Linked DNA regions of Schizosaccharomyces pombe. The protein of the gene in region 2 purifies or fractionates together with the protein of the main gene of each other region. This does not show direct contact. Each region holds a gene or a part of one and is shown on either strand. Other genes may lie near its edges.

What was found.
Region 1: the proteins of pdp3 (region 2) and ptf2 purify together in Schizosaccharomyces pombe (affinity purification with western blotting; one study listed by BioGRID). This does not show direct contact.

The regions. Positions count from the first base shown.
Region 1 is NC_003423.3:4,234,935-4,238,841, reverse strand, and holds ptf2 (protein ptf2), read right to left. Parts: upstream 1,853-3,907; 5' UTR 1,621-1,852; coding exon 1,240-1,620; 3' UTR 518-1,239; downstream 1-517. Other genes in the region: rps3 (40S ribosomal protein uS3), read left to right, coding at 1-517; top3 (DNA topoisomerase III), read left to right, coding at 2,705-2,785, 2,833-3,209, 3,299-3,791, 3,842-3,907.
Region 2 is NC_003424.3:4,335,293-4,339,154, forward strand, and holds pdp3 (PWWP domain-containing protein), read left to right. Parts: upstream 1-1,788; 5' UTR 1,789-1,955; coding exon 1,956-3,179; downstream 3,180-3,862. Other genes in the region: prp10 (U2 snRNP-associated protein SF3B1), read right to left, coding at 1-1,263, 1,330-1,434, 1,486-1,495; DNA replication factor C complex subunit Rfc2, read left to right, coding at 3,450-3,523, 3,576-3,862. UniProt on the Schizosaccharomyces pombe protein: Component of the mst2 complex which is a highly specific H3 lysine 14 (H3K14) acetyltransferase that functions together with gcn5 to regulate global levels of H3K14 acetylation (H3K14ac), critical for DNA damage checkpoint activation.

The DNA.
Region 1 (3,907 bases), on a different chromosome or scaffold from region 2:
TTTTAAGTTTGCTGAGAACACTGTTGAGCTGTATGCCGAGAAGGTTCAAAACCGTGGTCTCTGCGCTGTTGCCCAATGTGAATCCCTTCGCTACAAGCTTTTGGCTGGTTTGGCTGTTCGTCGTGCCGCCTATGGTGTCCTTCGTTATGTTATGGAGGCTGGTGCCAAGGGTTGTGAGGTTGTCATCTCCGGTAAGCTCCGTGCTGCTCGTGCCAAGTCCATGAAATTTGCCGACGGTTTCATGATCCACTCTGGTCAACCTGCTGTTGATTTCATTGACTCTGCTACTCGCCACGTTCTCCTTCGTCAAGGTGTTCTTGGTGTTAAGGTTAAAATTATGTTGCCTGAGCCCAAGACCCGTCAAAAGAAGTCTCTTCCCGATATTGTTGTCGTTTTGGACCCCAAGGAGGAGGAGCCTATTACTAAGCCTTATACTGTTATCAACCAACCCGTTGAGGCCGCTGCTGCTGCTGGCCAAGAGGTTGTTGCTGAACAAGAGACTGCTGTTGCTTACTAGGTGCTTTAGTTGGTTCCACTTAATTCCTGATAAAAATAAATTCGGTTTAAGATATTTGATTTGACACTGAGTGTATGGTATTGTACTTGTATTTAGTAATAAGTGTTTTTGGTATATTCGTTTAATTGTATCTTTGAAGAGAATAAATATAGACACATTTTCAGGTAATACATAAAGGTAAAAACACTGTTGTTTGACACACAACCGAAGTGCGTTTAATGTATTAAGAACACTTAGTTGTCCGAGCAATGTCCAAACATTGAAATCGTTTGCCTTACTTGTATATTAGCAAAGTTTTTTGTTATCAATTCTAAAATTCAGAAGAAAGTATAATAAAAAAAGAAAGGAGAAATAAACCTTGGGGAGTAATGAAAACTGGCAATGCAACTTTTCAGAATTGAGTAATGTTCAATATTAGCGTTTCAGTATTTAAACTGGCAATTGATAATAAATAATATGACTCTTATAATCCTAAATTAAAAATCTCTTATCATAGTTATATACGAAAAAAAAGGAGAAAAGCTATAGAAATTGTCGCTAACAGGTTAAACATCATCGCCAGGCACTTTTATCCATCAACCGTAAATGGGTAGAATTCTCATATCAAAGTAAACAGAATACGCACGGATCGCACTGCCAACATTAAAGTGCAGCAAAAAAAAAATTAAAATATTATTATGAAAGGGAAACTGGTTATCAAAAAAATAAAAAATAAAATGAAATCATGGTGCTGGAACATAAAGCGGATTATCTGCTTCTAGATATTTTATTTTTTCACACAAGTGCTTATAAGAGGCCAAAACGTTTTCATATAACTTGTTTGCTTCTGCACTTGTTTGTCGTAAATACTCATGCGATGTAAACAGAGAATCTGCCAATTTTTGCTTAGCACTTGGGACCTCTGAAATGGGACAATCACACACCAACCTGGCAGCGGTATTTAAATTTTCATTTTCTTTTGCAAAAAAATTCTCGTATTTTCTTATATAACGTAAAGAACGATAAATCTCGATTGGAATATTATCGGTAAATTCAACAAACTCGGCTGCAAGGTCTTCGTCACTCAATTTTTCATTACACGATGACTCCTGTATCTCATCCATTAAAAAAGGTCAATATTGTGGAAGCCAAAGTGCAAAAACTTGTTATAAACAAAACAAAATGAAAAGATGAAAAAGAAATTAAATTTCAAATTTTTGGTTAATCGCACCTCCTAAACTTCCCAAATTCAATCGCTTTAATCGAACATGGATTTTTTGTGTTTTATATTTCAGAATAATAAACCTCAGACTATATTAAAAAAAGTAGAAACCTCGTGGAAGAATGCTTACTACTGCTTCATCAGTTATCTCAGGTTCGCACTTGTCTACTACAGTGGTGAGGAAAGTAACATGTTACCAATTGTATGGAATCAAAGTAGTTAATTGAGATTTACGAGAGAAGCTGTGAAACAAAAACTTGCCTTCTAGACAAGGTCGCTTTGTTTTAAAAAAACAAAAAAAATCCTCTGCACAGTCCCTTCACTCTATCGATAGTGCATGATTTTTCTTTTTCTTTTTTAGCTATCGATAATTATTTTGCATTTAAAAGATGAGAAAATATAAATATAAAAACAAATTAAAATATTATCAATCCCGGTTTGAGTCAATAAGAGAACTTTCATTTATCTATTTATTTTAATTTCAATTAATTAAGGAACTTACATCAATTTACCATGCTCTATAGAAATAAATATGTAGTTTACAATGCGAATGATGGGTTCAAAAATCAAAAAATATCTAAATTTCTAACTTTTTTTTACAAACAAAATATTAATTTTAAATTTTGTTATACATTCGGCGCATCTATTCATTAAACCGTCCTGACTATGAAAGCTTAAGAAATAGTTATTACATGGACTTCTTCAATGCAACATACATCAAAATTATATAATTACTTATCTAAAGAGGTTCTTCTTAATTCTCTAGTATAATTAACTACTGGTATGGTGTTTGATTTTTTTTAATGAACTTTCTGGTCCTCGATTTACTACCTTTCATTATACCAACATTTGTTAGCATAAACAATAAAGCCATCTCGACCTTAACACCTTACACGCGAATTTTACACTGCAGTCATTTTTAAAAAAGGGAGATATAATTAGAAGGTGTGCAATATCCAAGTAATAAATGTCATCTCTTAAAAGAAATGCGCGTCCTATGTGTTGCTGAAAAAAACTCGATTGCCAAATCGGTAGCAAGCATTCTAGGGGGTGGACACGTGAGAAGGGTTTGTTAAAAAATTTAATCTTTTCTGAAATTTACTAATCTCTTAAGAGAGATACACGAAGTAAGTATGTAAAAAATTACGACTTCTCATTTAATTTTGGAGGCAATGTTGGATCTTCTGATGTTACAATGACTTCTGTATCCGGTCACTTAACAGAAGCTTCTTTTCCTTCTGAATATTCTAGTTGGAGCTCTGTCCCTCAAGACGTTTTATTCGATGCTCAAATCATCACCTCAGTATCAAAGAATGCAGAAGTACTAGCAGACAATATTAAAAAAGAAGCTAGAAATGCCCAGTACCTTTATATTTGGACCGATTGTGATCGTGAGGGTGAACACATTGGGGTGGAAATCTCCAATGTAGCTAGAGCCAGCAATCCATCTATTCAGGTTATCCGAGCAGACTTCAATAATTTGGAACGGTCGTAAGTTATAAACATCTTAGCGTTTTAAAAAGCAGATATTTATTTATTACAGAAAAAACCCTTCAAGATAAATGCTAACTAATTTTCAGACATATTATCAGTGCCGCGAAACGTCCAAGAGATGTTTCAAAAAATGCTGCAGATGCTGTGGATGCTAGAATTGAACTTGATTTTCGTTTAGGTGCAATATTCACTCGGCTACAAACTATTCAATTACAAAAATCATTCGATATTCTTCAGAATAAAATAATAAGTTATGGTCCCTGCCAATTCCCTACATTAGGCTTTGTAGTTGATCGGTGGCAGCGAGTAGAAGACTTTGTGCCTGAAACCTACTGGCACCTTCGATTTGTTGATAAAAGACAGGGTAAGACTATTCAGTTCAATTGGGAAAGGGCCAAAGTTTTTGACAGATTAACTACAATGATCATCTTGGAAAACTGTTTAGAATGCAAAACTGCTAAGGTCGTTAACATAACTCAAAAACCAAAAACCAAGTATAAACCTCTGCCATTATCAACTGTAGAACTTACAAAACTGGGGCCAAAACATCTAAGAATTTCTGCTAAGAAAACTTTAGAGGTACGATTTGATTATAAGTGAATTTGCAACTTTAACATCATTTTCATCAGCTCGCCGAAAACTTATATACTAATGGGTTTGTTTCTTACCCACGTACTGAAACCGACCAATTTGAC
Region 2 (3,862 bases):
TAATGATTTCCCGACCTTCAGCACGTGCATAGTAATCTTCATCAATAAGAAGGGGTTCAATAACTACGAGAATTTTATGAGTAAAAGGGCGAACCAGATCATCCAATTTGTATAATATACGATCAATAACCTTAACTAAAAGATGGCGCTCCTGATCTTCCAGTGTTCGTTCCATTAACAACGGAAGAATCTGATTAAATAAAGCAGCTGCACCAAAGTCGCGAGCTTGATCCGTAAGCTGGCGTAATGCACTCTTACGCATGGGAGGAGTACCATTTTTTACTTTCAGAAGTAATCTCAAAATTTTACGTTCACGAAGTTCCGCAATTGTAAGCTTGGCCTCGTCCTCCACCTTGAGTAACTTGCCAAAATATTTAACATCTTCTTGCTTAAAAAAAGCTAAATCACCTACACCGGGTATTTCTGTAGGCAATGCAGCTGGTAATTCTTTTTCTAAAGGAAGCTCTTGCTCTTGTGGAACGTGATATGTATCGAGCGTAGTACCTTTTTGAAGTAGTTCAGGATGAATTGATTCTAAATATCCAGGAGGAGGCTCCAAAATAGCATAGCCTTCTGACGGCAAAAGCTCATTTAACTCTTCTTCAGTTAATAAACGGACAGGAGGTCGTAATTTTTCTTCTACTACATTTACTTCCTTATTAATAAGATCTTCAGAAATTCCGTTTTCTATAACATGTTCAGATATAGTGAAGTTTTCAGGAGCTTTGTCCCAACGTGATCTACGCTTAGTAGTGGAAACCTGCGTAACGCTAGGTGGAGCCTGATCCCAACGAGAGCGTTTAGGCTTCTGAGATATTTCCGTATTATTAAGCTCTAGTTCTCTTTTTTTGTCCGATATGCTTTCCTCCTCCTCCACCTCTTTTAGTGTTCCTTCACGACGTCTTTGATTTAATTCCATATGAACTCGTCGCTCTTCCTTTTCTAATTCAACCTGCCGCATAACCTCCGCATAAGATCTTCCATTGCTCTGTGTCCCATCAGGTTGAAAAGCATCTACGCGGGTTGGAGTAAGCTGTCTATCATAACGCTGCTTTTGATAATCTGACTCGCGATCCTGAATTTGCTTTTTTGACTGTCTCTCTTGCATAGGGTCATAACTTTCATCAGCGTATTCATTTAGTAGTTCCTTAGGTGCTTCATATTGACGCACTAAACGATAACTATCATTAACATCGTTTGTACGTTTATAATCGTCTTCATCCTGAGAGATATCATTGCGCACGTCAATTGCGGAGTCATATTCTTCTTTTGGGTTACTGGACTTAAAAAGATGAGCATTATATTGTAAATCATTAGAATCCTGGGTACCTTCAATATTTACACTTCCATTTGTCGACGAATTCTTCGCTGCCTCTTTTTGTCTTCGCAAAAGTTCTCTTTCAGCACGAAGCCTTTCTATTTCCACATCTTCTACTTTATTTAGGTTAGTAACATCCATTTTGAACATTTTATAAGGATACGTACCAGTTGACATGTTGATGGCGAAGAAATGCTTTCATGTTGCGCGTCTTATACTCATTTAAATATACTCAAAGCATTCTAAGCTTCGTTATCAATATTTTAAAGTACAATACAGTAACTCGTTTTGTAGAATAACGATAAGATTAACGTGTCTTATTTAGTTTAACCCTCTTTATTAAGATTTATTTGCGAAAGAAATATATACTATCGAAAAAATTAGTATGAGGAATGATATTGAAATATCGAGGTATCATATTGCAACAGCTCAAGCTTTTAGCACCCCCCCCCTCTGCTATTGTAGATCTTGTAAGCGTTGCTGCAATTAATTGATAATAGACAAGCGTCTTACGGTTTCTACTTGTATATCCTAATATTTGGTGGAACCTTTACAAATTGATGTAAAATCTCTTTGGAAAAATTCAGCACTATATCGCTTTAATGTGAAGTTTGGCTTATAAGGAATGTAATTAACGATGATGGTTGCTAGGACACGCAGTCAAAAAAGAAAGCTTGAAGAGATTAATAACCAGAAGAAGATTAAAACAAAAAAAAAGGCCACCGGGCAACAGACTTCTAATACGAAAAATCTGCGTGATGTTAAAAAGAAAGGTAAACAATTAGCGTATGTTCCGAGGACGTCACCAAGGAAATCATATAAAAATGGGGAATATGTTTTAGCAAAGATGAGTAGCTTCCCATGGTGGCCAGCCAGAGTAGCGAGCCAAAAATCAATACCCACTGAGGTACGCGAACGATTGAAACGAAATTTTCGAATGGACAATGGAATATTTGTTCAGTTTCTTCCTTCAAGAGATTACGCTATTATTTCTTCTTCAAATGTTTTGCCCTTAACTGTTGATGAATCAAGGTTTATTTTGGACCATGATTTATCGACAAAGTATATCCAAAAGACGGTAGGTCTCATCATTGCTTCCGTAAAGAGAAAAGTTTCTTTTTCTGATGTCGAAGAGGATGAGTTTGAACCAGAGAATACTCGTAAAAAACTTCAAAAGCCCATCGAGAAACCAAAAAAGGAAAAGATAGAAGCCACACCTAAAATTGACGGGGGTAAAAGGTTAAAAAATGAGAAATCGTCGGCAGAAATTTCTCAAACATCGAAGCAACGACCTTCACGTAGGTCAGCTCGAGTTAGGATGGCTACAGACAACGCTCAGAAATCCCCATCTCCAATTCCTTCTCCCAAGAAAACAGCCAAAAAAAGAGTAAGGTTTGCCGGTTCTTTAGAGGAATTACCAAAATTTTCACTTGAATATCAATTGGCTCAGCCTATAAGTACTGTAGATATGTATGCTCAAGTTCATTATATTCGATTTAATACTCTTTTATATTACCGCTACCAACTACAAGAAATCCTACTGTCATATAATCATTATCCTCAAGAATCGGATATGTCTCATGTGCACCAAATATTGGAGATGATTGAGAATTTCAGCGCAATAAATTCTGAACTATTAGAATCAACCAAGTTGTATTCACTTTTTACTTTGCTTGTTAAATTAAGCGACATACCGTTGGATGAAAAATATGACTTTTCTTCACGATTTTCGACTCTTCTCCTTCAATTCCAAGCATTCGTTCAGCCCAAAACCATGACAAGTAATGTATCTACAGCGCCCATTGGAAAGAATGCTCAAGTGAACACAGAAGCTGCCAGACCATCTGTCATCACTACCTAACTTTTGATCATACATTCATATGCTTTTGTTATCGAATTACATAACTAATCTTGTTTACATTTAATGTTACGATAATATTTGCTTCCAACATTTTCATTAATATAGAACGCATTATTAGCGCGACTCAATGTGTTTATGGTACAAATCGTTACAATACGTTATCCTAGTATGTAAGCAAGAACAAGCATTGCTTACTACCATTTCGTAGTAGGTACCGTCAGTGTTTTTTTTTTTTACTTGCGATATCTCGTGTATACTAATTTAAAAAAAATGTCTTTCTTTGCTCCAAGGAATAAGAAAACGGAGCAGGAAGCAAAGAAATCAATACCTTGGGTTGAGCTTTAGTATGTAAATAGAGAATACTTTTTAAGAACAATAACATTAACACGTATGTAGTCGTCCCAAGACATTGGACCAAGTTTCCTCTCAAGAATCTACTGTACAAGTATTAAAAAAAACACTTTTATCTAATAACTTACCTCACATGTTGTTTTATGGCTCTCCTGGTACTGGAAAGACGTCAACCATTCTAGCTTTGTCTCGTGAGCTATTTGGACCGCAATTGATGAAATCAAGGGTTTTGGAATTGAATGCTTCTGATGAACGCGGTATCTCTATTATTCGGGAGAAAGTCAAGTCTTTTGCAAAAACAACCGTAACCAACAAAGTCGACGGTTATCCTT